4 linked regions of the Elephas maximus indicus genome follow. The protein of the gene in region 1 interacts with the protein of each later gene in a pairwise test. Links are inferred from orthologs where the notes say so. Each region holds a gene or a part of one and is shown in the gene's direction. Other genes may lie near its edges.

Region 1 (8,334 bases):
CATTGCAGGGTAAAAGGGATAGAAAGGATCAAGTGACACATAAATACGAAAGTGAGGGAAGGCTTCCTGAAGTAATAGTGTTCGAGCAGAGACCTGAATGGAGTGAGGGTGTGAACCTGTGGCTTTCTGGGAGGAGACAGTTCCAGGTCGGGGGAGGCCCTGAGGCAGGAGTGTGTTTGGCATGTCTGAGGAGCAGCCAGGAGAGTGATAAGTGTGGCCAGAGTGGAGTGAGGGAGGGAGGAGGAGGTGGTAGGAGATGACATGGGAGGGGGGACCATAGGTCTCCCAGGGTTAGCATGTGTTATAGGTTGAATTGTGCCCCCCAGAAATGTGTGTCAACCTGGCTAGGCCATGATTCCCAGTATTGTGTGATTGTCCACCATTTTGTCATCTGATGTGATTTTCCTATGTGTTGTAAATCCTATCTCTGTGATGTTATTAAGGCAGGATTGGAGGCAGTTATGTTAATGAGGCAGGATTCAATCTACAGGATTAGGTAGTGTTTTAAATTAATCTCTTCTGAGATATAAAAGAGAGAAGTGAACAGAGAGACAGGGGACCTCATGCCACCAAAAATGAAGAACCAGGAGGGGAGCATATCCTTTGGACCCAGGGTCCCTGTGCTGAGAAGCTCCTAGACCAGGGGAAGATTGATGACAAGGACCTTCCACCAGAGCCCACAGAGAGAGAAAGCCTTCCCCTGGAGCTAGCACCCTGAATTCAGACTTTTAGCCTCCTAGACTGTGAGAGAATAAATTTTCTCTTTGTTAAAAGCACCCACTTGTGACGTTTTTGTTACAGCGGTACTAGATAACTAAGATCACATGAATGAGTTCTCCAGGGATCCTTCTTGGTGGTGGGGGGCATGGTAGGGGGGCCTGCTGGGAGCAAAGCACATGGTAGGGAACAGTGCACAGAAACCAGAACAAGGGCTCCAAAATGATCTTAGGGGGAGGGTAGAGCACCCCCACTGCCCTCTAGCCCCCTCAGCTCTGTCCCCCGCCAACACCATGACAAGTCTTCTAGTCTCCAATCAGCCCACTCTCTACCTCCCCCACCTACTAGCTCCCAGCCCTGCCTCTGGATTTGAGTGACCCCTTCCACCTCCCAGCCCTGAGACCCTCCCTGGCCTCAGCTTCCCCCAGGAAGCTCTGCTGTTGCTGTCATGTGCCATCTTGTCAGTTTCGACTCATAGCAAGCTCATGTGGCAGAGTGGAATTGCCTCATAGGGTTTCCTAGGCTGTAATCTTTATGGGAGCAGATCACCAGGTCTTTTCTCACGAGGAGCCCCTGGGTAGGTTCTAACTACCAACCTTTCAGTTAGCAGCCCAGCTCTTAACCATTGTGCCACCAGGGCTCCTTAGGAAGCCCTACAGGCGGATATTTTCTTTTGCTGCTTCCATAGGCTGGCCCAAGAAAAGAGCGGTAGGGGCCTGCACCCAGCACAGGGCGAGACTGGAGGCTGGGACGAGGCTCTTGCAGAAGCACCCCCTCCCTGCTTCAACCCAGACACAGTCCTGCTGTACCATCCCCGGCTCCTTGATTCTCCCTTCTAGACCCTATGGTTTACTCAAGCTGTGCTCCTGCCGAGAACACCCTCCTCCCAGCAGTCCTCCTGGCTCAGCTGCCTCCATCAACTTTCCTGTGCAGCCCCCCACCTCCCCAACTCATCGCTCCCTTTGTGCTTTGGAAGACAGAGCGTGAGCCTTGGGTCAGGAGGTCAGGGTTCTAATTCTGACTGCCCTGGGCAAGTGATTTTCCCATCTGTGCCTCAGTTTCCTCATCTGTAAAACAGCTACAAAGTCTTTCCTCTCTGGGTCAATGTGAGAATTCAGTGCCATCACGCTGCAGGGAGGGCTGTGTGGAAAGAAAGCTCCATGAGTGCTAGGGTCCCCCCTGGGTCCCCCCGGTGTTTGAATGAGGAGTTTTTATGCCGGTTTCCTCTACAAGACTGGGGGCTCCATGAGGGCAGGGACAGAGTCTTAATCTCATTTTGTTCCCAGGCACTTGCCCAGTGAAGTGTAGTAGATGGATAAATGAATGGATGGGTGGCTGGCTGGCTGGCTGGCTGGATGAATGATCATCCTCCACGTTGTCACATAACTGGACCTTTCTCATCCAGTTATGGGCCACAGCAGGACCCATCATCTCACTTGATTTCTTCATAGCTATGACCCCTATCTAAATGACCTTACTCATTTGTGAGTTTTTTGTTAATGGTCCATCTCCCCCACTAAAATGTCAGCTTTGTGAAGGCAGAAACCAACTCTGTCTCATTCATCACTTTGTGCCCAGTGCCCAGAACAGTGCCTGCACACAGTAGGTACTCAGCTAATATTTTTTAATGAATCAAAGAGCAAATAAATACATTAATTAAATGAAGTATACGGGAGTTCCAGTTGTCCTCTGGAGATGGAAAGATCTCCTTCAATTCAGTCCATGAATTCAGTCCAAGAATTCCACTTAGAGAAAAAGACACGCACTTGTCCATTCCCTCAACAGTTTCTGCTAACCTATTAATGTGCTAGGCACCAGGATGCATCAAGAAACAGGACACGGTCGCTGCCTTCAACGAGCTGCCACACATAAATAGTTTTACCAAGACACTCTATGCTAAATGCCGTAATAAAGGTAGAACTCATTCAGTAAGTGTTTACAGAGCACCTACTATATGCCAGGCACTGTTCTAGGCTCTGGGGACAGAGAGTGAGCAAGGAAGCCGCTGTCTCTGGTCTCATGGAGCTGACATTCACCCAGGGTAGGTAAGGGGGTATGGTACGTGGTGAAAGCTTAAATAAACAAGGCATAACAGAAAGTGATATGTTATAAAGGAAGTAAAACTGGGCAATGTGACAGGCAGTGGCCAGTGACCAGAGTCGGGACAGGGAGGGCCACATGGGTACAAGGTCAGGGAAGACCTCTCTGAGGAGGTGACCTTGAGCTGAGGTGTGAATGATGAGGTTGGGGAAGAGCTGGGGAAAGAGTGTTCTGGGCAGAGGCAACAGTAATGGCAAAGACTGTGAGACCAGAAGAGACTTGACCATGTGAGGAGCAGAAGGAGGCCAGAGTGGCCAGAACAGAGTGAACAAAGGGGCAAGACAACTGAGGTCTGGGATAGGATAGGTGAGCTGGCCAGGTAGGGCTCTGAAGGCTGTAGGAACGTGCTGGCTTTTCTCCCAAAGTACAATGGAAGAAAGCCGTGGCAGGCTATAGGCAAAGGAATGACCCAATCTGACTTAGAACGTAAAATGCCCAGTGGCTGCTGTGTGAAGAGTGGACTACAGGGACAGGAGAGGAAGCAGGAGACTGTTGTGGTCCAGGAGAGAGACAGTGATGGCTCGGACCAGGGGAGCAGTGGTGGAGGTGGAGAAGGATGAGCCTGGAATGTATGTTGGTGAGTCAATAGGATTTCCTGGTGGCTTGGTTGGGATTGAGGGGGAATGAGGGAAGACAGGACTCCAGGAACTCTTAGGTTTTTAGTTGGTTCAACTGAGTGGACAGTTGCATCATTTCCTGGAGTCAGAGAGATGAAGAAGAATGGACACGGGTTTGTGAATCCTTTTTTGCCCAGACTGGTTTGAGATGCCCATTGGGCAGCCAAATAGGGAGTTGGAAGTTCATCCAGGAGTTCAAGCGAGGGCTTAGGGCTAGAGGTGTAAGTGTGAGCATCAGCAGCACGCAAATGAGAGAATGGAGGTGAGAAAGGGCACAGGATGGAGCTGTGGAGCAGCCAACAGTTAGGGGTTGAGCAGAGAAGGAGGAGCCAGCAAAGGGGACAAAAAGGAGCAGCCAGGGAGGTGGGAGGGAGGCCAGGAAGAGAAAGAGGAGGGCTGGGCAACATCCATGTGCTGCTGACAGGAAGATGAGGACAGAGAAGTCACCATTGGCCTTGGCCACATGAGGTACTGGCTGCTTGACAAGGCCTGTCTCATGGAAGCCTGCTTGGAGTGAGGAAGGAGAAGATGGGAGACAAGGAGACAGACGTGCTACGCAACTCTTTCCGCAAGTCTGGCCGCAAAGGAGGGCAGAGGTTGGGGAAGTAGCTGAAGGCAAACAGAGATGGAGAGAAGGTTTTTAGAAGATGGGAGATGCTTGGGCTTCTTGGATGCTGATGGCCTGACCCTGTCGTGAGGGGACTTGATGAGGCAGGAGGCAGGAGAGAGAACACAGAAGAGTTCCTGAGCAGAGGCAAGGAGGCATTGCAGTACACGCGATATTCATGGAGTGATTCGGAGAGAGAGAAACACTGATGACCCAGCAGAGAGAACAGAGCCCCAGGTAGACGGCAGGGATGCGGCCAGCTCCTGTGTGGAGGAGCTGACCTTGTGGCAGGAGAATAAGTAGAGGATATGGGCAGAAATGCAGGCAGGATGATGACTTGGGGTGGGAAGATCAGGGTGATGCCATCGAAGGCTTCTAGATTTCGGTGAGGGGTGAGGAAAAGCCAGCAGCAGAGTGTGAGGAGGTGAGCTGCGGTGTTGGAGGTTTGAGAAGGAAAACTAGTTACTTTCAAGTCGATTCCGATTCATGGTGACCCCATGTGTGTCAGAATAGAACTGTATTTCAAAGAGTTTTCAGTGACTGATTGCCAGACCTTTCATCTGAGGTGGCTTTGGGTGGTCTTGAACCATCAACCTTTCAGTTAGCAGCCAAGCTCATTAACCATTTGCACTACCCAGAGACTTGAGCTGGAAAGGTGGGGTGCAATAGTCCACCTGGTGGGAAGCAAACTTAGCAGGAAATGTAGAAGGATTATTGGGCAGTGTCCAGACTAGGGGTCACCAACTTAACACAAGGCTAGTGACTTCCTCCAGCAACATTCAGCTCCTCAGGCCCAGGCTCAGAGCAGATGGATAATTAGGTTACAGCCGAGCTGAGAGTTTAGGTATCTGCAAAGGAGCGCATATAAGATGAGCCAGGGAGTCTTAGCTGGGCAAGGAGGGAAGTGAGGGCATACAAAGTTATGGGAAAAGAATAGGACCAATGGCCTGGGGGTCTCTGTAAGGTCAAAAAATGTTGGAGTGTGAGTCTAGAATTAGGAAAAGGGAGTAAAAAGAAGCTGGGAAGTGAAGGCAGGAATGCAAACAAAAACATGGACACCAATGTTCATTGCAGCACTTTTCACAATAGTGAAAACAATCAAAATGTCCATCAGCAGATGAATGGATAAACAAAATGTGGTATATACTCACAATGGAATATTCTGCAGCAGTAAAGAGACATGAAGTCCCGATGCACGCCTCAACATGGGTGAGCCTTGGAAACATCATCCTGAGCGAAATAAGGCAGCTGCAAGAGGACAAATCCTGCCCAATCTCACTTACACGAAATAAGCAAATATAGAGAAACCAAAGGTTATTAATGGTAACCGAAGGTGGGAGAGAGGGAGAAAGGGGGAATTTTTGTTTGAGGGGCGTGGAGTTTATGTTAATGGTGGAATGTTTTAGAAAAGGATAGCAATAGTGGTGGTACAACGTGAAAATGTAATCCATGTCATTGAATTGTAAACGTGGAAGTTGTATTGCCCAATGTTTTGGCATGTATTTTCATCACTGTACGTGTGTATGTATGAAGAAGATGGGGTAAGAAATTCCTACAGAGAGGACCAGCTAGGAGAAGTGTGGCTGAACCCGTCACCTGCTGTGGACTTGACCTTTCCTTTCTGTAAAACGACAAAGGGTTATAATACAGTAATACCCATCATGCAGGGCTGATGTAAGGTTTTGTAAGCAGTAGGGGACTGAGCTTTTGTAAATTCCTCCTGTCATTTTTATTTTCAGATCTGTTCACAAGTGCCCACAAGGACTGCCCCATGCCCCAGGGCACAGACCCCTTGAACCCAGACCTGCCCTCCAGCCACCCGCCCACCATTGCTCCAGACCATGTCACTGGCAAGGTAACTGGTCACTCTTCACCCCTTCCTTCACCCCTGCTTGTGCTCTGGTCCCGGGCCTGTCCCCTGCAGCTCCCCACAGGGAGCAGAAATCGTTCCAATTTCCTTCCCTCCCTGCCAAGCTTGGCTACTTCCCGTGGGGTCAGGGACCTTAAGGCATTCAGCCAGGAGGGGCCTGAATTATGCTTTGCCTCTAGGCCCTGGACTAGGCAGTGGTGTCAGTAGGGCGTGGGAGGTGGAGGCAGGGAGTGCAGACTGCACCAGGTGACACTATCACAGGGTGACACCAAAATGACTATGTATAAAATTTTTGTGCAGTGTTTCAGCAGAAATTCATTACTTTTCATAAAAATATTCCTGTCGTTATAACAACAAAAAAAGTTTTCATAAGCCCAGCTTACATGTATCAATATACCTAGAAGGCTAAAACTCTAGGCTAAATTACTTTGTTGAGAATGAAGTAGCAACTGAAGGACAAGAAGGAGCAATATACAGGAATTACGATTTACAAGTAACATTAGTACAAAAAATGTTACTGGTCTGGTACGGGAAGAGGTCCGTGAGGAGGGCTGACACCATGAGTTACCACACTGAGTGACACCAACCCTAGTGATGCCACTGCATCTCAGAAACTCAGTTTCTTCTTCTGTAAAATGGGAACAGTGCCACTTACCAGACGGGTAAAAGCTTACCTGGAGAAGCATAAAAACATAACGTAGGCATAATTCCTACCACAATGCTATGTGGTATATGCTCAAAAAAAAGGGGGGGGGCAATTATATGACTGGTAGGTTCAAGCCACAAACCATGGGGCAAGGGTGGCAATTATGCTCCAGGATTTGGAGCCCCTAGCAAAATCCTCCTAATCCATATGGATGAGAATTCCATTCCAGAGAGCAGTGCAGGCTGCTAAGGAGCTGTGGGCTAGTAGCAGAATTTGTTATCTGCAAAAAAACCTTCAGTACAGGACTCTTTTCTAAACAAGCCTGGTCCCAGTGGTGTCACTAGGGTTGGTGTCACCCCGTGCAGTGACTCATGGTGTGGTAACTCATGGTGTCACCCCCACACCACCGTAGACCTTCTCCTATACCAGACCACACAGAATTCTTAGTAATGTTTTATGTACTTAACGTTACTTGTAAATCATAATTCCTCTATATCACTCCTTTTCCTTTGATCACTACTTCATTCTCAAAAAAGTTATTGATAGAGGTTCACAAATACTAATTACCACAATATTGTAGCTAAAACACCAGAAAATTTGACAAAATCAGCAAATATAAGAACACCAAAACCAAACCACTGCCGTCGAGTCGCTTCCAACTCATAGTGACCCTGTAGGACAGAGTAGGACCACCCCACAGGGTTTCCAAGGAGTGGCTGGTGGATTAAAACTGCTGACCTTTTGGTTAGTAGCTGTAGCTCTTAACCACTGTGCCAACAGGGTTTCCATTAGAAGGTTCAAAAAGTAAATTAGCATAGAATTTTAGCCTTGTAGGTGTATTGAAAGACCTCTTTAAAGTGTTAAAAAGCAAAGATGTCATTGTGAGGACTAAGGTGCACCTGATCTAAGCCATGGTGTTTTCAATCACTTCATATGCATGCGAAAGCTGGACAATGGGTACGGAAGGCCAGAGGAGAATTGATGCGTTTGAACTCTGGTGCTGGTGAAAAATATTGACTATACCGTGGACTGCCGGAAGAATGAACAAATTTGTCTTTGAAGAAGTACGACCAGAGTGGTTCTTAGAAGAGAGGATGGGAAAACTTTGTCTCGCTTGCTTTGGACATGTTATCAGGAGGGATCAGTCCCTGGAGAAGGACATCATGCTTGGTAAAGTAGAGGGCCAGGGAAAAGAGGAAGACCCTCAATGAGATGGACTGACACAGTGGCTGCAACAACGGGTTCAAACATAGCAACGATTGTGAGGATGGCGCAGGACCGGGCAGTGTTTCATTCTGTTGTACATAGGGTCGCTGTGAGCGGGAGCCGACTCAGCGGCACCTAACAACCAGGTATACTGATACATGTAAGCTGGGCTTAGAAAAAATGTTTTTGTTGTTATAACTGACTACAGGGATATTTTTATAAAAAATAATAAATTTCTGCTGAAACAGTGCACAAAAATTTTATAGGCAGTCATTTTGGTGTCATCCCCTCTGATAGTGTCACCTGGTGTGGTCCGTACCCCCTGCACCCCCTAGTGACCCCACTTCTGAGATGTTAAGTCAATAGTCTAAGGATAGCTGGCTAGGAAATGGCAGTCAGGTCTCAAATCCAGGTCTGACCCATCCCCTGCACCCACTGCCTCTCCTGGCAGTGCCACCATTGCCATCCCCCTCCTCTTTCTCTGTACGAGACACTAGGGCAAGGCCCACAGGTAGGCCGACCCTGGCCTCACAGAGCACCAGACGCTGACCTGACCCACCACCCAGGGCTC
Region 2 (7,847 bases), on another chromosome or scaffold:
TATTAAGGAAAATGGATTCCAAAAGGAGAAAGAAGTCAGAATGATCTATTCTAAGACAAGACAGGATTTTGAAGACCTTTCTGGATCAGATGGTATCCAAAGTACTAAGATCCCAGAAAATGGACCTATGAGTTTATTTGCAGTGGCAATTCATACAACTAAAAATGAGCACAGCCCAGCGTTATTTTTTGTTGTCGCTACTTTCTGTCAAGTCCATTCTGACTCATGGATGCCCCATGTGTGCAGAGTGGAACTGCTCCATTGGTTTTCAAGGCTGTGGCTTTTCAGAAGCAGACTGCCAGGCCTGTCTTCCAAGGATCCTCTGGGTGGGTTCGAAACTTGTGACTAGTACTTGAGCACTTAACCCTTAAGGATTACCTAAAAAATCATTAAAGAAAATAGAGGTCATATGTTGTGTACTTCTGCTACCACTATTTTTTGTGTATGTTGTCACTAACAAAGGCAGTGAAAATTTCTAGCCTAAGAGCACCATCATGAATTTATAGGTTAGACTCAAATATAGAAGAGAGAATGAAATAAAACATTTTCTATTCGTTGGGCTGCCAATCACTTGCATTTTCTGTGATCATTTCTCAGGCTCCAAAAAACTTCCAGGAAATTCAAAATTTTGACAGTCTAGAAACTTGAAGCAAGGCTGTAAGACACTTTGTGGATTGTTCAAATTTTGAGGAAAATTGCTGACTGCAGCCAGAGGGTGGTCTTCCAAATTGAATTTAGATCTAGCCATGGGTTACAGAGATAAACCATGATGAACTGGGAAAAATGTCCTACTGGGTCCATTAAAGTAGGACTTTTAACCCCTCATCTGCACCAATAGACATGGAACGCTCCCTCTAACTGCATGAAAGTCACTACATCATTATCTTGGATTTTTCACTTGTTTCAGAAAAACATGCTAGAAAGTACAAACATATACAATGAAACACTTTATGTATCAGAAAAACTAATGTGCAATTTCATTCTAGGAAATAATGTGCTGTTTTAATTTAGGAAAGTTATTTTGTCTATTCATATATATATTTTTAAATAGGATAAAAACCAGGATAAATGTAATTATCTTACACAATGCATCTCCTCTGTAAGGGTTAAGGGTCATAGCTTTTGGGGATAGAGGCACTTTACCCACACAAGAAAACTGCTTTCATTATTCTTTATACATTTAAGTGAGTATAAATCCATTTTCCAATTCCTGTTTCTTTTCATCTTCTAACGATGACTTTCAAACACTTTATTTTTCTTCCAATTTCCTAAATGCCCCATGCCTTAAATTCCACCCTTCTTTGCTCAAATATTTTAAACACAAGCACTTATAAAAAATACTACAATAAACTCACAGGACTGCAGGCTTAGATCTCTTGTACTACTGCAGTTCCCACAACCCCCTCCCTACAGTACTTTCCCACCTCCTCTCCCTCCACTCCAGAGAGTGAAAGCTGACATCGCCGTGTTGGGGACGCGTCTTTAGGTAATGGGACAACTGCTATAGCTGATGGCGTTCCTCACTCGACACGATGCAGCGTTTCAGTCCCTCTGCCCCTAGGCGCATAGGAGCGCGCGCCAGCGCATCTCTGCTCTGTGACCACCGGTGACATTTGCAAATGTCTGAAAGAGCAAAGAGGGCTCTCTCATTTTTTAGTGCCCCATCAAATTCCGCTTTGAAGGTTCATTCTACTGCACTGAAGAGGGGAGCTGCTTTCTATATATCATTCTTTCAGTGCCTTTTAGAGCTGGTTTCTCTACTGTGACTTGACGCAGCATATAAAACTCGACTAAAAAACATCTCTGGGGAAAAAAATAAAAGAAAATTAGATGAAACTATAAAACAGCTGGAGATTAAAAACTAAGCTATCGTATTAAGGACTTCCAACAACGCTGCAGTGCAAATGGAACTAAGAATAAATAAATCCGCCTATACAATTAAGGCAAACTTGCTTTACGAAAGCGCATACATCTAAATCAAAGCGACCCTACAAAAGATCACGGTTTAAAGTATCAGTGGACATTTTTTCCCCCCTAAACACAAGTGGAAAGCATGTTGTCTAAAAGCAGAAACTGTCAGAAAAGCGACCGCCAGAGCGCGTAAATAGATAGGACTCTTTGAAACCCAGAAATGGCATCTTGACACCCTCGGTTGATGCAGACTGTAGTACGAAAGAGGCTGTTCTCTTGAGAGAAAGAACCCAGCGTAAAATGCTTTTGTAGGGAAAAATCTATAAAAACGGGAAATTACTTTCAAAGCCTGGGAGGTTGTCTTCATAGCCAACCAAAGCTGCTTGTCCAGAACTGATTTTTGCCCTCACCCCATCCCAGGAACAGAAGGAAAACCGCCTGGCACGCGGAGGAACCCCGCTACGCACTGCGCGATGCAACAGGAGCGCAGAGCGGGCGCCCAACCACAGCCGCGCAGCGGTGGAATGTGCTGCGCTCCCGCAGCGCTCCGAGGCCGCGCGCTCTGCTCCGCGCGGCTCCGCGCTCCGGGTTTCCGCGGTCACCAGCACCCCGAGGAGGAGCCCCGCGGAGAGGGGGCCGCTGCGGGGAGGGGGCTGCCGCGGGCCTCGTCCCCGGAGTCCGGAGAACGCTCTGTCTACGGTAGCCTTCATGAAGCGTTTGGCTCAGAGAAGCGTGGTCCTGGGCTCCCGGACCGCTAGGTTGGCGTTGAGACTGAGGCCGCAGTTTCGGCTTAGCTACCGGAGGGCCTCAGCCTAGCGGAAGCGTTTGATTGCCAAACTAGTCAATCGGAGTTTTTCCCAGATCTCCGTAGGTAGCCATAGGTTCGTTCCAAGCTGGGCTCTCCCACTCGGGGCCAAGAGCATCTCCCTCCTGGCAGCGAAGGTTTGACACTCTAGAGCCCAGTTTGCCCCTGGGGACGCTCTTCATGCCCCCAGCACGGAAAGGTTAACTTTGCAGATTTCCTGAATGTGGTAAAGTGTGTGAAAGCGCTTTGCAAATAGTAAAGCGCTCTCCTTAAAGTGAACATCCTTCTGTCCTGCGCCCCAGGATTTCTCTTCCCCGAATGTAAAATTCCCCCCTGAATGTCAACCCCAGGTGGTTTTTTTTTTTTTTTCCCCACCTCTCCGTGCCTAGAATAGTGGCTGATACTCGTTCAGTGAATAACTGTTGAATGAATGTACATACACACACACTTGGAGAAACCGATCAGGTTGGAACATCTCGCAATTCTTTTTTTTTTTTTCCTGGTAGGGAATCGACCAAACATTTACTGGGCATTACTGCTTGCCAAGTCTTCTAGGCTTTGGCAGGCCAGCGGGTAGCGGGGGAGGGCTGCAATCCAGCGCCTCAGTCAGGAGCACAAGGGGCTTTATAAAATCGGCTTGTCCAAACCATCAACCCTAGATTCGCAGGATAGTTCAACTCCACCACCCCCACACACATCCAATGTATAGTCAGGAAATATGTACTTATTAAACGCATACAGAAGGTGCTTATTGATCGTTTCCCCAAGGTCATACAGGTCAAGAAGCAGAACTTGGACCCACTTCTCTTCAATACACATTTCTCCAATGCCTCCTCTGGATCAGGACCATGCTGCGCGCTGGGGTACGTAAAGGACACGGCTCCCAGTACTCCCATCATAAGACCCTCGGATGAAATGGCCCACGGCAAAAATGACCGCCATAACCGTTCCTTCAATGAGCCAGTGCTCACAAGTTCTCTGGGAAGGCTTCCTTCCCAGAAAGGGTTTCTGCAGTTTTCTTTTTCACCTTAAAAACAAAACAAAAACCATTGCTGTGAGTTGGAATCAATATATATATATATAGGGCAGATTATTGCTGCCCTTACAGAGTTTCCAAAAATGTAAATCTTTAAAGAAACAGACTGCCACACCTTTCTCCCGCAGAGCCGCTGATGGGTTCCAACCTCCGACCTTTTGGTTGGCCCCCGATTGCTTAACCACTGTGCCACCAGGGCTCTTTTCTTTCACCTAACAGCCTGACAAAGGATTGGGCTAGGGGCTGGTTAGGACCGACGGCGGCGGGAAAAGCAGAATCCACGTGTCCTGTCTCTGGCCTGCGCCTTTAGCCACCAAGCACAGTGACCGCGGGGCGTGGCTAGCTCAGCCCGCCCTCCTTCACGTCTGTACAGGTGAGGGTTTTGCCCAAAGCAGGGCTTCCTTTTCCAATATACTTTCCTTTAGAGTTTCTGCTAAAATCTGGAGACGCGGAATCCACCCGCGGCAACGCCGAGCCCTTCCAACTGAGCATGCGCCATTGCCGGGCGGCTTTTGATCACCGGCTCCCGAGCTCCCAGAGCTGGGGCTGCGGAGCTCGAAAGGGGAGGAGGGAAAGGGGAGGGTGCCTGGAGAGGCGGAGGCTCGCGCGCCTGCGCACCCAGCTCTAGGGACCCTAGATTTTCTATGGGATTCCCAATCTGCAGCAGAGACTTATCCGAGCGTGTTGCGGCGGCAGCTGTGGTGGCAAGGCGCGATCCAAGAGGGATTTAAGCAAACTAGAGCTCTACAGAAGAAAAGAGTGTGAGAGAGCCACACAGAGACGGCTTAACCGTTTATCCGAATTAAATATATATATTTAAAAAAAGAAAAAAGAACTGTTGATTTTTATCATTTGCGTTAAGTGACCGTGCGAAGCGCTGTAACTGTAAGTGGAAAACACAATCTTCGTTGCCTTTTTGCATGTATAGAGCAACCAACTGCCAGGGAGCTGCTTTGGCTATTGTCACATACTTTGCTTTGCATAGATGCGTCTAAATGCATAGTGACAATTGTTTTCGTTTATGCTGGCAGTGTGAATGTGCAGTTAGTAGTGGGGGACCTTTTGGAATAGCGGGGATGGGGGAAGGGGTGTGTTTATATGCGGAGTGTTTAGGGGATTGTCTTAGGATGCCTTTGAGACTGATGGAACCGAGATGCTTTTTTAGTTCAAGTCTATAAATAGACGGATTTCCTTACACCGATTTAGGTAGCTAACTGACCGATCGTGAAGTTTTCCGCTGCTGATAAAAGTATTAAGCGGTTGCAATCAAGTACCAACCTGTCATCCTTGGGGTTGGTGCACCATTTTTCTCAGCGTGGAAGAGCAGCAAAGGTGTTTGCTAAGTACAACTGAGTGGTCAAGATGTTACGGAAATCAGGGTTGAATTCGAAGCGGGATGTTAGTATTTAGACCCCACGGAGTTAGGCGCTACATGAGCACATTTCGCTCTTCGTATTTAAAAATGAGTGGATAATTTTTCGTTTTTCAGTTTTCGTCATGATGGTGAATGGGCAGAAAAGGAAAGATGTTCTACCGCACAGTCAACTGTCTATTCGGAACAGAGTCTGAGACTGGGAGTCGCTGAATGGGGACTGTCAGACCCAAACTAGTTACCTGCCTTTGCATTCCACGTCGCATTCTGGAATGTAAACCCAGATGTATGACATCTGGTAGTGTTTTTATTTTTTTAGAGGAGGAAAGGTCGTTTTGTGTATTGAGTTAAAATGGGTTGTTCCTTGCCCAGAAACTGGAAAAGGGGTCTTTGCAAGGTCAAATCCCGTCTGGATATCAAATTGCTGAATGCTCTCTGGGGCGCTGGTGAACGTGTGGCGAGTGGAGGGCGCGAGGAAATGGTGATGCTGCACGTGAGTGCTCAGCACTGCACGCCTCGGTGCCCCCGTGAGATGGGAGTGTGGGAATCCATTTTTCTGGAGTTGCCCTCCTGTCCATATTTTGGAGACTAGAATGAAATAGAAATGCTAGTGGGTGTGGGAAACAAAAGCTGCATAGTCTCCGTGTCACTTCCCACTTGAAGGAAAGAAGATAAGGAGTTTTATGGCTACATATTAAATTTCTTTTAATTAAAGGAATTTCTGATTGAGACAAATCCAAAATGAAACTCTTGTGGAAATGCATTTTACCCCTACTGCCATCTAAATTACCTATGTGTGGGGGGGGGGTCTCCTGCATCATTGCACACCCTACTCATCAGTGCACGCTTATTAAGCTTTGAATGTTTAATAACCCCAGAAAACGCTGCACTGAAGCAGCTTGGCAGAAGGGTATGAGGCAGGCAGACCAGAGAAGAGCGTGGCCAGTGTCTGACCATAGCTGCTGGATTTTCGTGGAAAAAGGAGATCCAATTTTGGGGATGAAATGAAATAAATTTTCCCCCAAATAAAGCAAATCATTACAGGGCTCTTTGACCCTTTTATCAGTCCAACTATTAGGAACCCCCAATTTATTTAAATGGATGAGATTTGAAATTGAAAATGTAAGAAGATTCTCTCCTTGGAAGCCCAAAGCATAAATCTTACTGCCTTCTAAATTCTTTGTGCCTGCCTTCTTTACTTGAGGGTGGAAGGGCCAATCGTTTGTTACAAATGAGCCATACTCCTTGTCATCATTTTCGAGTTGGCATCGGTTCGACAACTGGTATAGGTGTTGCACTGCATTGTTAATGCCCATTAAAAAAAAAAAAAAACATTGCTGTCGAGTCGATTTCAACTCATAGCGACCCTATAGGACAGAGTAGAACTGCCCCATGGGGTTTCCAAGTAGCAGCTGGTGGATTCAAACTGCCGACCACCATAGCTCTTAACCACCACGCCACCAGGGTTTCCAAATTCATTGTTAATGAGTGGTGGGGAAAAAGGGGAGGTCTGGTATTAAACCTCATAAATATTTGCACTTAGATTCCCGGGCTCATAGGCTATTAGTTATATAGGGCCAGATCAGGAAGAAAACTTCGAAGGCACCTAGTACAATCCCCTCATTTTGCAGATGTGGAAACTGGGGCCCAGAGCCTTAGAGCTAGAGAAACATCAATTGACTTCTAGTCTGTGGAATAGAAACTTAAAAAGCAATGTGGAATGAAAATACTGCTTTCTCTCTGCACTTGCCAGCATCCTCAGTGACATTGCTGCAGTCTCCAGGTAACTAATTGCCTGCTTCAGAGATGGTCTCCTGTGGTCCCTTTCAGACCATTGAGCTTCCCTTCTCTGCCTTCCCTTTCCTTGTAAGGTCTCTTTCCATCTCTTTTCTATTGCCCCTCACCTCTAATACACCCACATCACTGGGTGTTTAGTCTGACATTCCTAGCCTCCTCTGCATCTCTATTTCTTTGGAGCCCTCAGAATTTTTCCAGAGAGCTCTGTGGCGAACCAGTCAGATTCTGCTCTTTCTGTCTGAGGACTGCCCAGGCCAGGACCTTTCGCCATCCCCTCCCTGCTCTATTCACCAGAGCGTTTCAGTGAATTCAGCCTTCAGGGATACTGCAGGTGCCATCGCCACGCTCTTCTGCCCATCCAGCCTCTTCTAAAACTGCTGCAGCTGCAGGGATCGGGACGTGGTGGAGTGAGCACGCTGCAGTATAAACACACCACAGGCTCTGCCAGCTCTCCCCGGGCTCCTAGAAGGTAGAGCCCAAACCGGAGCTACCTGTCTCCAGCCTTCAGGGAGATCCCTCAGATGAAGTCACCTGCAGAGAAGGGGGTGGGAGCAGAGATAACTGGAGGACGAATGCTTGACTGGTTCAGCCTGAAGGAGTGCTATAGAAGGGAATAGTGTGCAGCTTTTTGAAACCTTTAGAGCTTCTAAAGCCATTGCATAGTTTTTCTTTGGGCTGGGTTTACTGGACAAGAGCCGCAAAGCAGGCATATTGACCTGCCTACCCACCTGCCTTCCCTCCTTCCTCCTTTCCCTTTTCTTTCCTCTCCCTCTCTTCTTTTCTTCCTCATTTACGTCCTTCCAAGTACCTGCACAATAAAGTTTTAGGCCTTTTGAAGATAATCTGTGGAGTCCTGTTCCTTCTCCAGAGATATAATCTCCCAGGCACTCAAGTAACTACCAAACCCAAACCAACCAAACCCAGTG
Region 3 (7,895 bases), about 26 Mb from region 1:
GATCTCACTCTTTTCCAGCCACGAGGAGACTGTGAAATATCTAGGACTCAGGGGGATTCCAGCTGTCAACAGGCTGCACTTGCTGAGATTGAGGAAACCCAGGGAGCCAGGAAGGCATTATCCATGATAAAAGGACTGTTGGGGACCAACTGGGAAAGGAATCTAGCACTCTGGTAAAGCAGATTGGAGTGGCCACTGCCTGCAGACCTCTGCCCTCACTGAAGTCCTGCTGGGTTCCATTCCTGTGTCCCCTTTTGGAGCCTCCCACACAGTCACCCTGTCCCTTCTTTCACACAACCTCCTCTACCCTCCTCGTTCTGCAGGGCCCACTCCGTCAACAACGTGGAAGAAGTGTTTGCCAAGGCTTCAAGCTTGAGAACAAGCAAGGTCACAACAAAGCCCCAGCACTCAAACCACCTTCCTCTGGCTTAGCCTTCAACTGCAGAACAGTGGAAACCCCAATTCGGTCCTGGATATTACCCCTTCCCAGGAACAGAGGTCAGTCAGTTAGACTTAGGTTTGAATCCCAGCACTGTCACTAACGGGCTGTGTTACAAGGCTCAAGTTGTATAACCACTCTGAGCATCTGTTCCACTACCATGAAATGAAGAGAGCAATTGTCGTTGTTAGCTGCTATCAAGTCAGGCCCAACTCATGGCAACCCATGCACAACAGACACTGGCTGGTCCTGTGCCATCCCCATAATTGGTTACGGATCCAATTGTTGTGGTCCATGGGGCTTTCTTGGCTGATTTTTGGACGTAGATTGCCAGGCCTTTCTTCCTGGTCTTAGTCTGGAAGATCTGATGAAACCTGTTCAGCATCAAAGCAACATGCAAGCCTCCACTGACAGAGGGGTGGTGGCTACGCATGAGGAGTATTGGTTGGGAATGGAGCCCGAATCTCTCACATGGGAGGCATGGATTCTGCCACTGGACCATCAATGCCTCTCTGAATATAACAATAAACAAGCAAACAAACAAATCCTGTTGCCGTTGAGTCTATTCCGACTCATGTCGATCCCATGACATTACAGAGTAGAACTGCTCGATAGGGTTTTCTTGACTGTAATCTTTACGGAAGCAGATCGCCAGGTCTTTCCTCCACAGTGCTGCAGGATAGGTTCCAAACCTCCAACCTTTAGCTTAGTAGTCGAGTGCGAACCATTTGCACTACCCAGGGACCTTGAAGATAAAAATACTGGGGCTGAAAATCAGCCGCTATGCACCAGTACAGCTGAACTGGTTGTTAAAACATGGAAATACTTCAACATTGATTGGTAAGTAGATAGCCATAGCCCTGAGCCCCTCATCACCCTAACTTCTCCCCTGCCCGTGCCCCCATCCCTTGATCTAGTCACTAAAGTGTTAACTCTTGGCAGAACAGAGAGCTAATAAGATCTTGATTCAGCACTAAGGCCAGCATCCATTCTGATTGGTAATGCTCGTGCCTTAACAGGTTGCTAGATATTTTAATATTACCCTGACAGTGGTCATCTTTGGGATTACGTGAGATGGTGTAGATAAAGACCTGGGCTAGTACATAGTGCAGCAACTCGGTCAATGTCAGCTGTGACTGCTTTAAACATTAAACCTTGTGTCAGAGGCAGGAGCAAGATCAGTATCTCAGACTCTAGTATTAGAAGCAGATGAAGGTAGGTTATGACTGGGAGTTCAGGAATAGTGCAGGGGTGCAGGGAGCCTCCAAGATGACTCATGGATCAGGCTGCACAGGTGGTCCTGCCTGGTTTAAAGGTCCAGAGCAAGCACAATGTATCCTGCTTCACCAACTGCCCCTTGCCTTCCTTCCCATCTAACCTGCCTGGATCTTATGCTTGATTCCAGGGCTGGGGAATGGGGGTGGCCAGGAGGAGTCACACACTGGCCCCCTTATAGCTGAGCTATGGGGTCACTATGAGTCGGAATCAGCTTGATGGCAATGGGTTCTTGTTCTTTCTACTGCTGCTCCTGGAACCCTATGTCTTAGTGGACTCTGAGATAGAGAAGCTGCTCCCAGGAGGCTGGGCTTTGCCTTTCAAAAGCACTGGGGGATCAGAAGCGAATATTCCAACCCAAGGTCCTTTTCCTTAAGGACCTGAAGGGCCTAGTTACAGGCAGTATTGTGTGCTGGCTAGGAGTGTGAGCTCTGGAGCCAGACTGCTTGTGTTCAAATCCTAGTTCTACAGCTTTACTAGGTATGTGAACTTGGGCCAGTCACTTAATTGTTCTGTGCCTCATTTCCTTATCTGTTACATGGCACTAATAATAGTACCTACCTCATAGAGTTCTTATGAGGAATAAATTAAGTAATAGGTATAAAGTGCTGGAATAGCACCTGACACAAAGTAAGCTCCCAATAAAACAAAACACCAAGCCCATTGCCATTGAGTTGATTCCAAGTCATGGCAACCTCACGTGTTACACAGTAGAACTGAGCTCCATAGGGTTTTCTTGGCTGTAATCTTTACAGAAGCAGATAGCCAGGCCTTTCTTCTGGGGCACCACTGGGTGGGCTTGAATCTCCAGCCTTTTGATTAGTAATCAAGTGCAAACCATTTGTACTACTCAGGAATCTAAGCTTTCAATATATATCAGTTATATTTAAGTGGCTCACAGTGGAGCAGTCAGATTACAGATAGCTGCCAGGGAGTTGGCTCCTACTCATGGTGACCTTACGTACAACAGAATGAAATGAATGCTGCCCAATCTTGCATCAGCCTCAGGGTGGCCGGCATGTTCAGGTCATCATTACAGCTCAGGTGCCAACTCATCTCATCAAAGGTCTCCCTCGCCTTCACTGGCACTTCCCTTCACCAAACACAATGTCCTCCTCCAGTGATTGACCCCTCATGATGACAATTTCAAAACAAGTGAGTCGGACAGTGTTCTGCTGTGATCCATAAAGTTTTCAACTGGCTAATTTTTGGAAGTAGATCGCCAGGCCTTTCTTCCTAGTCTGCCCAGGATGACAAATGGCCTTTCTTCAGCCTCCTATTTGAAATTCTTCTGCTTTTCCTGTACCAGCTCCCACATTTTACAGACCAGAAGGGAGGTCCAGGGAGAGAAGGGTTTTGCCTACAATCACATGTAGGGTCATCTGTGGGGAAATGGACAAAGAAGAGACTCATTTTAGAACTTCAGGTTCTATTTCCAACTTCCCAGGCTGTCTCCCCAGTTCCTCATGCCTCAGATTATGGTTTTCTATGAGCAGGGATGTCTTCTTGCCGTCTCTGGGTCCCCAGAGCACAGAAGGTACCCAGGAAGTGGTAGAGTCAGCGCTTGCAGGCACCTATCCCCACCCTGTGAGTCACCCACCCATGGGGGCCAGGGATGCGCCTCCAAACTGGAGCCCCAGGTAGCTTGCACCCTGCTAAGGGCCCAGAGAGGAAATAGATTGCAGCGGATAGAATGGGCAGCAAAATCAGTGTAAGGGGGAGTATTACGGTTCCTAAAGAAGAGGGACGCCCCCTGCTTCCTCCTCTGCGAGCTTGGCCCGGGAGTTGCTGGGACCAGCCCCAGGAGCCTGACCCCACTCGCAGCAGGCCCACCTCCATCCTCCACCCCGCATGGCCCCGGCGGCCTCAAGGTTCACAACTCGGGCAGAAGCCCCGCCTCCTCGCCGCGGTCTTCGGTATCCCCGCTCCCATTCGACCACGCCCCAGACGCCCCGCCCCTTTGACAGATTCCCAGAAGCCCCTCCCCCGCACGTGGCCCAGCCCGGGGCTATCTGCTCCCCTTTGGCCCCCTGTTTACGGTGAAAGGGTGCCTTCCCACCTTCGGGAGCTCTCGGCTGCCGGTGCAGCCAGGACGGCCGGGGCGGGCTTTGGGGAGACCCCCAAGTGCAGGAGGAGGTGTCCCCCGAGCCCTGAAGCCTTCCAGACCCGCTCAGTGTAAACCGCCATAGGTTTGTGTCAACATCCGAGGCCGGAGACTGGCGGCGGCTGGGGACCGGCTCCGTCTGCGGGACGGAAAGACGGAAGGGTGGGGAATGGAGGGGTCCATGGAGTAGGCAGAGGGGTCCTTCTCGGGGAGAAACCGAGTGGCTGCTGGGGTCCTTGGACAACAGGGAGGTCCCGCCTGGGGAGAGATGGAAATTAGGGATTGCAGAGGTGGCGGAGGCAGTCCGGGGCCAGCGTGGGGCGAGGTGAGGGTGGGTCCTTCGCCGTTGATACTGCGCTCTCTGCGCCCACCCACCTTCCTCTCTGCTCCTCAGCTTGAGGGGAGTGGGTGTGTATGAGGAGCTGATGAGAAGGCGTGGGCAGCTAGACTATCCCAGCTCTTCCACCTCCCACCCAGCTATCAGCAGCTCCTTGTTGCCCTTCTTCAATTTCGGGTGGGACATGGGGGGGGGTCGCATCTTGTGACTCATCCCCTCTTCCACCCCCACCTCCGCTGGGGCCCAGTAAGGGAAGGCTTAGAGACTTGGCTGTGACTCTCCTGTTTCCATAGCAACGGCGCGGTTGTATCTGCGAACCCGTTTCAATCGTTGGCACTTTTCACCCCAGACTGCACCCGGGGTCTGAGCCTCAGGGCGGCCGTGCACACCGGGGTACAGCCCTCCCCCTTCCTCTCGAGGCCCGGAAGGTCAGCGCTGGCGGGCGGGGCGCGCTTCTCCAGCCAGGCCTCGCTGGCTACCCATCCCCACCTGAAACCCCTCCTGTCACTCGGCCTCAGCCGAGCCAATCAACGCCCAACTTGCCCGAGATGAGGCGGGCCTTATGCAAATCGTGTCGCTTCTGAGAAGCACATAGTGATACAAGAGCTGGGAGGCGGCTCCAGCGCGAACCTAGGAGAGCCCAGCCGACAGCTCCCCCGGGCCAGTCTCCGTCCCCGCTGCCGGCCAAGGCTCGGAGCCTTCCAGCGACCCGTTGAGCGGCCTCAGGTAACGTGGGTGGGGCAGGACCTCTGAGGCACCCCTCGGGGCCGAACCCCTTGCCCCCTCCCCCTCCACTACCTCTTCCCATCCTCATCTCGAGACCCCTCTGATTCACCTCCCTGTCCCTGGTTCCCCCATAGGCGTCAGCACCTGGAGGGCCCGCCCCTGGGCAGGGGGCCCCCACCTCAGTCCAGGCCTCAAGGGTCCCAGGAAGGGAGGCAGAGCTGCCCCCTTATCCCAGCTCAGGTAAGAACAACCATTGCTCTGGCCCTGAACGTGTGCACACATACACACACACACCTGGGGATGTGGTGTCTCTGGTGCTAGAGGGAGCACCAATTACCATTCCTCCATTGCTTTGTCGATGGATGGTCTCCCAGCCCCATGGCAATGTCCCACCCCCACCAATAGCCCCCAACCACACCACCCAGCCCCACTGACAGCTCACCAAACTTCACACCACAGGGCCCCTGCCTCCAAAGACAGCCTCCACCTCCATAAGAGCCCACTCCCACCTCACACTGTCCCCTTGGACTGTCCCCACTTTCCACCCCTCAAATTGACAGAGCTCATAGCATATGTGAGGGAGGAAAATTCCCCCCACCCCCCAGTCTCCCTCCTTATAAACACGCTCTCTCAGCAGTCCCTCCCCATGGCCCTAGTGAGGCAAAGTCCTGTGTTTGGCCTCTTTTGCCTTGACTGGAGGTTGAGTCAGGGACATCACCTCCAGCAGACCACCCACACCCTCTCAGTCGCTACTGCCAAGGCTCCATTCCCCTCACCCCTCACAGCCAAAGCACCAAGTCTTCTCATTCTACCTCTCAGATATCTTTCTCATTTGTATCCTCTCTGATCTTCTTAGGCCCAGTGCCTTCCCCTCTTTCATCTTCCCACTGGCCCTGTGGGACCATGCCAAAGCTCCATGTGAACCATGTCACTTCTTTCCCTAAGGTGGCCTGAACCTGGAGGGCAGAGCTGGGTTCAGATTTTGCCTTTGCCCCAACTTGCTGTTTGACTTTGGCCAAATCACTTCCTTCTGATCCGTCCCAGGACAGGGGGATGGATTGGATGAGATAGTCTTTAACAATCCTCCACACTGACGTGCTCTGGTTCTGTCACAGATTGTGGGGAAACTGGACTCTTTCACTCTTTCTCTGAACCATTAGAACCTTTCAGAGAGAAGGTCCGAGGGCTTCAGTCCTCACTGAGGGGACATTACTTCTTACCCAGGCCACCTCTGCCCACACACTTTCCAAAACCCCACCATCAAGAGTGCCTCTTAGACCACAAGCCCACCCTGGCATGGACAGCCCTGAGATGGGTGTGGTCAACAGAGCCTACTCTTTGTTTAACATGGGCTGCCTCTCATTAGTTAGGAGAGGGAGAAGTCCTGCCCAGTTGAAACCCAAAGGCCCTGGCTGCTGTTGCTTCTATTGCTGCTGCTTGGAGAAGAGCAAGAGGAGGAAGGAGAAAATCTCCTGACCAGGGAGCTGTTGTCACCATGGCAACTGCCTCAGCACCCGCTCCTCTGAAGCTGGCAAGGGTGTTGGATTATTGCCTTCTGCAGCCCCTCCCACCCTCACTGCCACCTCCCCATTCTAAGCCCACAACCCTGGAAGAAGCCTCTGAGCACAGAGGGGACACTGGCTTTGTGCATGGGGCAGTGCTAGCTCCTTCACGGCTGGAGGGCAGCCCTCTAGAGTTAAGCAGAAGAGTCTACCCATGTTCGGCAGGGCCAGATCTCCAAAGAAAATGCCCCAGCTGGGTCCTGGCCTTCCTTTGCTGCTGCTGAGCTCTAGTTGACCTTAGATGAACCCTTCCTTTCTTGGGTCTGGGTTCCGTTGTCTCCAGGGTGAGTGTGATGGCGGGAGAACACAAATAAATAAAACAGCCTGACTAAGTTTCAAAGAGGAAAGAGGGGGTCCTGCCCCTCTCATGTAATCCACCAAAGGCTTTGCTCCAGGCACTGCCTTTAGGTCTCTGCAGGGCAGTTCTGTGCAGCCACAGAGAGCAGAGCTAAAACCAGTGATGGGGAGCTATAAGAGGGCAAACTTAGGAACAAAGGGGAAAGGGCTTTGCACACTGTCCAAATTGCTCAGAAGTGGACTAGGCCATATTGGGAGGGGATAAGCTCCTTGACATTGAGCAAAAAGGTCTGGGAACTTTTTCTGGCTCAGGCAAGTGTTTAATCCAAACCAAACCAAATCAGGCTCCATCTTGTAATTCTAGAGCAGCACCAGGTGAGAGTCAGAGACTCCTGAAGTCTACACACTGGTGGTGGCCGGACTCCATGGCCTCACAGGGTCTATTCATGCCTAAGTGCTGAGCCCGTGCAGCTGGCTGGGAGAAGCTGATCCGAAGGAACTGGGCTTCAGCCAGGCCCTCAAGGCTTATTATAGCCTGCATCACCCTGGGTACAGAAGCAACTAAATGAATAGGTGAGGTAGGTTCCAGCTGTGAGAAGCCTAACTCGAAAGGAGTGTGGGGGTTGTGAGGGGAGCAATGGGTGGTGAGGCTTGACAGGTGGACACCTTGAGGCGAGATTCTAGATGATCTTGGAGTTTGAAGGAGGCCCATGGGCATGGCCGCCTCTAGCCTATATTATACTTCCATGCAAAACTGGAGCAGAAGAATCAGAGGAAAAGCACTATCTGTGAGGCAGTTGTAGTCCATGGTACATGCCATGGCAAACAGCTGGATTTCAGCCCCCTGGCCACGGGGAGAGAGAGCACATAGAGAAAGTGCCAGGAGTACTTCAAAAGAAGAAATGTCAGCATCTGATGGCAAGTTGGACCTAGGGGAAAGGGAGAGGGAAAAAGTGAAGGTTGCTAAGATGGAGTTTCCTCCCGTAGGAGGATGGAGGGAAGGAAGGGGCAATGGAGAAAGAAGGACCAGCACAGGCTGAGGATGAGTCTGATTGTATACATGCTGAGTCAGAGGTGCTGGTGGGCTACACCTAAAGGTGGATATTTCCTGGGTGTCAGAGACCCTGGCCTGGAGCTCAGGCAAGATGGTCCCAC
Region 4 (7,262 bases), on another chromosome or scaffold:
TTCCTTGCCTCTCTCCCAAACCCCCCCTGCATTTAGCCTCTTATATAAGCAAACTCCTTGTCAATTTCAAGGCGTGGACCTCCCAGCAGAACCAGGAATCAACCAATCCCCTCGGTGGACCAAAAGTCGTTCAATCTTATTGGGTGGTTTTACACACCACTTTTTTTTTTTTTGACTAGTAAACTAACTGCAAGGTGCAAAATAGACCAATCACAGGGAAGCCTGTGGCCTAACCAATCATTTTTTGGCAGATTACAAACCCAGGGCCAGAAAAGCCATATATAAACCATTACACTGCAGTGACTTTTTGGCGCATTTATATTGAATTGTGTATTTAAAACTAAAAAAAAGAAGGGAGATGGAAGAAGGAAGAGTGAGAGGGGGAAAAAAGAAAGGTAGAAAAGAAGGAAGGAAGAAAGATATAAAATTCTTGGAAGGAGATGGCAGGGGGTCAGGTTCAGGGCCCACCCCTGCCTACCTCTGTCCACCCGGTGCTACATTCTCTACACTAGAGCCAAGCCTCACTTTGGAATCAGGCTGAACACCAGGGCATTCAGGGAAGGGCTGAGTCACCAGACTGGGCAGAAGCCCAGGTGGTTATGCTTGAGGCCCTCACAGCAGGTACAGGCAGGAGAGGAGGGTTGAAGGGGGTTTGCAGAGGTGCCTGGAGAGTTGCAGGCAGGCAATGCTGGTTTTCCCAGGGACCAGGGAACCTGGGGCCAGATGTAGGGCAGGAGTGAACATGTCTGTGGAGATTTCAGGCTGTGGTTTATTTCCTTGTAAGCAAACCCAAAAAAGGACAGAGGTCGAGATACTAACACCCAGGCTGGGCAGGGTGAGGTCATGCAGGGAAGCAGCATGAGTCCTGGGGACCACAAGGCCTGACAAAGCGGGCCTGGGAAGGGCTTAGGGAGGGGCGCAAATGGGGACTGACTCCTTGATGTCATATCTCTTTTACAGGGGACATCTAGTTCAATTGGCATAACAGTTTATAAAGAAAAGGCTCTACATCCTACTTTGGTGAGTAGAGTCTGGTTTCTTAAAAGCTTGTGAGCAGCCATCTAAAATACTTCACTGGTCCCACACCGTCTGGAGCAAGGGAGAATGAAGAAAACCAAAGACACAAGGGAAAGACTACTTCGAAGGACTAATGGATCACAACTACCTCAGTCTCCACCAGACTGAGTCCAGCACAACTAGATTAAAAAATAATAATAATTTATTTGTCATTGTTGTTGAGAATATACATAGCAAAATATACACCAATTCAACAGTTTCTACGCAACTTGGTGACACTGATTACAATCTTCAAGCTGTGCAACCATTCTCACCTTCCTTTTCTGAGTTGTTGCTCCTCCATTAACATAAACTCACTGCCCTCTAAGGTTCCTATGGGATCTTTCCAGTTGCTGCTGTCAATTCGATCTCATATAAATAGTTCTTAAAAGAGCATAATGCCCAAGGCAGACGTTTTTTACTAGTTAAGTTAAACTATTGTTTGGTTTTAAGAAAACTTGGGGGATATTTTGATTTAAATTTTAAGGATTATCTCAGGGCAATAGTTTTGAGATTCATCTAGCTTCCATGGCTCCAGAAAGTCTGGATTCCATGAGAGTTTGAAATTCTGTTCTGCATTTTATCCGTTTTGATCAAGGTCCCCTGGAGGTGTTCTTGAGGAATGTGGTAGCTGGCCCACAGCCCTGGAGGATGGAGTGGGGCTGGGGACTGTATCCTCTCCACTGAAGTGCCCAAGGCTCATTTCATCCACTTTGTCAAGTGGTTTAGTAAACGTATTTCACACTTCCTTGCCTTAGTAATCAGAGTAACTGCATATGATTTAAACTTTTCTGAATGCTCTGGCTGATCCCTTGACTGTCAATTACTGTCCTTTAGGAGGGATGCCCTTACGGTCGCCAGTCCTACAGGGCTGTTTTGGCCCTGCATTCAATGTCCCACATCTGGTGTGCTTTTGAGTTCTTCAGTCTGCTTTTCAGCGGTTTTGTCCCCTTAAGCCTTTAATCCTTGCTAAACGCCAAGTGCCTGCCTCTAGAAACTTCAACATATCCCCTCATCTTTCTGTTGCTGGGAAATCAGATAGTCACATTTATTAAAAGTGTATGAAATCAAAGGGCCTATGCACGTGGAAAACTTGGGACTCCCTTATGGAAAAAGTTTGTGATCCTTTACGACAGGGTTTCTCAACCTCAGCACTATGGACATTTTGGGCCAGATTATTCTTCACCGTGGAGGACTGTTCTGTGCATTGTAGGATAGTTAGCAGCATCCCTGACCTCTACCTACTAGATGCCAGTACTGCCCCCCCAAATTGTCCTCTGGGGACAAAATTACTGCTTTAGAGATTGAATTTGTGATGTCTGTTTCAGTCACTTTGGAGGTTTTTTCTCCTGCATGCATTTTCTCTGGTTCTGTGTAGTTGTGATGCATAGATTCATTTATTAATTTGCTTAACATTTCATGAAGCTCAAGTGCGTGGTGTATTCAATAGAAACATAAGCCATACTCCCTAACCTCAGGATACACGGGAAGAAAATACACACAAATAAGTCACCAGGGTGCAAAGTAGTCCTAGTTTAGCAGCAGGAGCCTTATCCACTTTCTGGGCCCTTTCTAGCCCCAGGCTAAGAACCCCTGTAACACAATTCCACAACTCTGTCACTCCTTCCCTACCTAGACTCCCACCACCCCTATTTGTCTCCCTGCCCCAGCCCCGAGTGCCTGGGTGTCTCCAACGTTAAGTGCTCTACTACCAGCCAAAAGGTTTGAGGTCTGAACCCACCCAGAGGCACCTCAGGAGACAGGCCTATTGATCTGCCTCTGAAAGGTCACAGCCTTGAAAACCCTAGAGAGCACAGTCCTACTCTGCACACGTGGAGTCACCAGAGTATGAATTGACTCGATGATAACAACCACCTTACCTCAAGCCCTCTCCTCAGCTTGTAGTGCCCTCTGTCCACTCTGCCTCTGTCCACTGCCCTTCCTCCAAGGCCCAGCACTTTCCCTGGGCCTCTCTTCTGGCCCATCTCCCCATCAGCCACTGCTGCCTGTGCCAGGCCACTGGCACTGAGCAGTTCTGGCTCCTGTCACTGGCTAATCTGTTCTGTGTATAAATTTTCTCTCCTTACCTGTCATGTCAATTTCTGGAAGGCAGGGCCTACTGAAACTAAGAAGTACTTCCACTTCCCACCCCCAGCCCAGCCTTGTTTCAGGCACCCAGCAGCTACTCAAGGCCACTTGCACTGAACAGGGCATTCAACCTGCCTATGTCTGCCCTTCCCATCTAGTGTTCTGATGCTCTTCCCAAGACCGCCCCAACCCCTGGCCTCCAGTCATTTCTACAGCCTCTCCCCTAAAAACCAGTTGCCACCAAGTTGATTCCAACTCATGGTGATCCTGTGTGTGTGCAGAGTATAGCTGTATTCCATAGGGTTTTTAAGGTTTTGTGATCTTTCGGAAGCAGACAGCCAGGCTTTTCTTCACAGGTGCCTCTAGGTGTGTTCCAACTTCCAACCTTTGTGGTTCTGAACTGTTTACACCACCCAGGGACTCCTAGCCCCTCCCCACCTGTCAGTTAAAATCCTCCCAGACACAGCTCAAGAAGGAACTCCCAAAGTGGAATTAATCTCTTCTTCCCCACCCTGTGGCAAACCTACTACCTCTTCATATTCACAATATATAGCACCTGGCACACGACCTCGTACATTTAAATTAGATTTATTCCGATTTGTTCTCCCTTCCTTATCCGCGGCCAGCCGTGAGCGTCTTGAAAAAAAGGCCTGGGGGCTGCTTGTCCTTATCCTCACAACCCTCCTCAACCCCCTGTGGGCCCTGAATCCCTAGCATTTAATTAACTGCTGAATAGAGTAGAAAGGGGATGCAACCCGACATCCTGTAAACGCCTTTGAGCAAAACCCCTGAGGGGTAGCCCCCTTGGCTGTTAACATCCCCAGACACGTTGCCTCCTTGAGGCTAACTCTCCCAGGAGCCCAGAGGGGTGGAGGTAGGAAGATCTGCAAGCTGGCTCTGGACGGCAGTCTGAGAAGGGCCAGAGCGTCACATGATTCTCCAATCACATGATCTGCAGGGATGGGGGGTGGGGAGAGATAGGAAGGGGGAGTGAATTGGGTTGAAAAGAAACACAGTATTCCAGACTGGCCCTGCCTCCACGTCGACAAATAACCAATGGGAGGGAGGCATGCCGGCCGCTGGCCAATGGACACTGAGGTGGGCGGGTCCTCGGGCGGAGGGGCTGTAGTGCGCGAGCCGACCGGCTGCTGCTGCCAGGGAGCGCGGATCCGGACGCAGGTAAGAGGGTGGCGGTGCACACCTCTCACTGGCTCCTTCCCAGGGGTCCGGCCGGGGACTGGTGAGCTTGAGGTGCTCCTGGAGTCTCAGCCGGGAGACGAAGGGAGATTTGCGTCCAGAAACTCCTTTGAGGGTTTCTGATGCACTGGAGGGAATTTTAGGGGAGAGTAGGTGGTAACTGCAGTGACCCCATTAGAAGGGGGCTTTTTCCGTGCCAGGATCCCCGGAAGCTGCAGCCCCTTTCCTCAAAGCAGGTACCACCCTATTCTAGAGCCATCTGTTGACAGGAGCCGGCTCCTTCCTCTTTTGGTGGTGGCGGTGGAGTGGTCCCCGTGGCTGCCCCGGGGAACTGGGAGCAGGACTTGAGACCCTGGCCGCCCCAAAGGTAGGGACTTGGGAGTGGTGACCGAGCCCCTGTGTTGTGTCGACTTATAGCCACCCTATAGGACAGAGTAGAACTGCCACACAAGGTTTCCAGGGAGTGGCTGGTGGACTCGAACTATTGACCTTTTGGTTAGCAGCCAAACGCACCACCAGGGCTCCTGGGTTTTGTCTGGCTCTTCCTTGCTTCCTCACGTGGGGGTAGGACGAGCTAACTTCCGCCTCTCCCAGCCACTTTTTCCTCCTCAGTTGCAAATGGATTGGCTCACTTTTGGGGAATCTTCCTCTCTGCCACTAGGAGTTGGGGGGTGCCCCCTAGTGGAAGATGACGGAGCTGGGGGCTTGAAGACGCTCCTGTCCTTTCTGTTGTGGAAGTGTGCGTTGGGGGTGACAGGCCGCCGCTAGGAACCCTACTGAGGAGCAGCCCGAGGCGGGGACTGGGCCTCCTTCTCCCCCGTCTCTAGTTCTGTGTGTGTATGTATTCAATAGAGATTTGAACTATACACCCTAACCTAAGGATACACAGGAAGGAAAATAAACATAAATCACCGGGGTCCAGAACAAGCATAGATCTGTGCAGACAACCCTCTGGCCTCAGCCAGGGCAGCAGGATAGGCAGCTGAGGAGTGAGTTTAGACACCCCCACCCCTGAAGCAGGTGGGGCCAGCTGCAGAGGCTTTTCCTGGGAGCGGTGGTGGTGGAGGAGAGGGAGAAAGGGCAGCATCCCATACCAGTCTTCATCCTCATCTGTTCTTTGACCTGGGGGAGGGGGCACCTGAGGAAAACCAGGTGAGGGAGTGACTGGGTGGGAGAGATTTCCTGATCCACTCACCTTTTGAGGCTCTCACAATCTGTTGGTGACAATTCCAGGACTAGGACCCAAGTGCAGTTTCCACAAAACCCCTGTTCCCTTTTCTTCCCTGCCCCTTCCACCTGCTCAGGAAATGCCTCTGTCCCCCTCCCTTTGCTTGGACCCCAGGCCTCTGTTTGGGGGGGTTCATTCCTGAGCCCTGCCTGGGGCATCACTTGTGAAAAGAACCAGGTCCAATAAGCTGTGCAGCCATCAAAACCTGTCGTCGCCATGACCTGACGTACAGCAGCGGCACCATACTTAACATCTCTGAGCCTCAGTTTCCTCCTTTGAAAAGTAAAGATAATAATTATTATTTTGGGTGGTTATTGCAAAGACGAAATAAAATAGGATGTTATAATTGGTTCTCAAGGGGCACAACCCACACACTGGGCAAGTCAGTGCCTCCCAGGCCTGCCCCGTTGCTCTCGTCAGGCCGTGGAGCTTGGGGGAAGAGTTGTTTAGGAAGTGAGAGGCTTAGTTCCTCCTGCTGACTCAAGTCGAGGCAGGTGAGGGCCGAGAGGCCCTCATGGATCCCATGTGGTCTCTTTTTGTATGTGATTGAGTTTTGGCGCTCAGGGTAGAGGAGAAGCAGGGGCAAGTGGTTGGTATGTTTGGGGAGTCTGAGAGGGCCCTGGTGGTATTGGGGGGCTCTCAAAGAACAGGTGTCTCAAAGGCCGCCCCCCAGCCTTGTGTCTCCCTCCATGGGTGTAGGGGTAGGGGAGAGTCAGCTGGCCTCTGGGAAAAGAAGCCCAGACTCCACTGTCCACCACACTTCCCTTTTTTCAACTTTCTCAACCCTGTGGTTTCCCATGTCATCATGTGACCACCCCACACACGCAGGCCGTAGCGGGGTACATGTGTATGCACACCACCAGGCTGGGAGGTATCTGGAAGAGCTGGCTGAGGACGAGGGGCCGTGGAGCTCTCTCCTGCCACCCCCATCCCTGTTTTCTCCTGTGGCTACTGGTGCTCACCACACCCCACCCTACCCCACCCAGGTGGCCTGTGTCCCCACAGATCAGACCCACAAAAACCACACATCCTCCTGACTGTCACATGCATACGTCTCTGCCACACGCACAGACTCAGGTGTTAGGCCATGTCGGGGACTCAGATTCACACATATACTCATGTCAGCATTGATGCTCATGGAGACACACACACACAGGTGACATGTAGAAGTGGAATCTCGGACCCCACATCTTTCTTCCTACTTGGACAGGGAGTTGTTGGGGAGGCTCAGGTAGGCCTGGGCCTGGGCCTGGGCCTGAGCCTGTGAATGGCCTCAGAATCAAGGGTGGCATGGGCTTAAGCTAATGAGTTCCCAAATGCTGGTTGACATTTTGCAGGTGGACCATGTGGACCCTGGTGAGCTGGGTGGCCTTGGTGGCAGGGCTGGTGGATGGAACACAGTGCCCAGATGGTCAGCTCTGCCCTGTGGCCTGCTGCCTGGACCCAGGGGGAGCCAGCTACAGCTGCTGCAACCCCATTCTGGTGAGCACCCCTCAGCCCAGGCGGAAGCTGGGAGCCTAAGTTTCCCCAGGTTGGCCTGAGGACAAAGCCAGGCATGGACCCTTTGGTTTATCCTCGTCCCTCTCTTCCCAGGACACATGGCCCTCTCTGTCCACAACATGGAGCAGGCATCTGGGTATACCCTGCCAGACTGATGCCCACTGCTCTGCTGGCTCTTCCTGCCTCCTCACTG

What was found.
Region 2: the proteins of FAM131C (region 1) and VSNL1 interact in binary tests that used the Homo sapiens proteins (3 or more experiments, as listed by UniProt). The two-hybrid records come from large-scale screens. The link is inferred for Elephas maximus indicus from reciprocal best matches to the Homo sapiens genes FAM131C and VSNL1.
Region 3: the proteins of FAM131C (region 1) and HPCAL4 interact in binary tests that used the Homo sapiens proteins (3 or more experiments, as listed by UniProt). The two-hybrid records come from large-scale screens. The link is inferred for Elephas maximus indicus from reciprocal best matches to the Homo sapiens genes FAM131C and HPCAL4.
Region 4: the proteins of FAM131C (region 1) and GRN interact in binary tests that used the Homo sapiens proteins (3 or more experiments, as listed by UniProt). The link is inferred for Elephas maximus indicus from reciprocal best matches to the Homo sapiens genes FAM131C and GRN.

Annotation. Positions count from the first base shown.
Region 1 is NC_064821.1:55,772,377-55,780,710, reverse strand, and holds the start of FAM131C (protein FAM131C), read left to right. Parts: upstream 1-5,246; coding exon 5,247-5,250; intron 5,251-5,780; coding exon 5,781-5,896; intron 5,897-8,334.
Region 2 is NC_064830.1:33,336,359-33,344,205, forward strand, and holds the start of VSNL1 (visinin-like protein 1), read left to right. Parts: upstream 1-4,426; 5' UTR 4,427-4,637; intron 4,638-7,847.
Region 3 is NC_064821.1:81,329,759-81,337,653, reverse strand, and holds the start of HPCAL4 (hippocalcin-like protein 4), read left to right. Parts: upstream 1-4,757; 5' UTR 4,758-4,881; intron 4,882-5,015; 5' UTR 5,016-5,121; intron 5,122-7,895. UniProt on the Homo sapiens protein: May be involved in the calcium-dependent regulation of rhodopsin phosphorylation.
Region 4 is NC_064837.1:50,850,052-50,857,313, forward strand, and holds the start of GRN (progranulin), read left to right. Parts: upstream 1-4,246; 5' UTR 4,247-4,323; intron 4,324-4,610; exon of another isoform or gene 4,611-4,708; intron 4,709-5,002; exon of another isoform or gene 5,003-5,178; intron 5,179-6,906; 5' UTR 6,907-6,913; coding exon 6,914-7,051; intron 7,052-7,162; coding exon 7,163-7,262. UniProt on the Homo sapiens protein: Secreted protein that acts as a key regulator of lysosomal function and as a growth factor involved in inflammation, wound healing and cell proliferation. Regulates protein trafficking to lysosomes, and also the activity of lysosomal enzymes.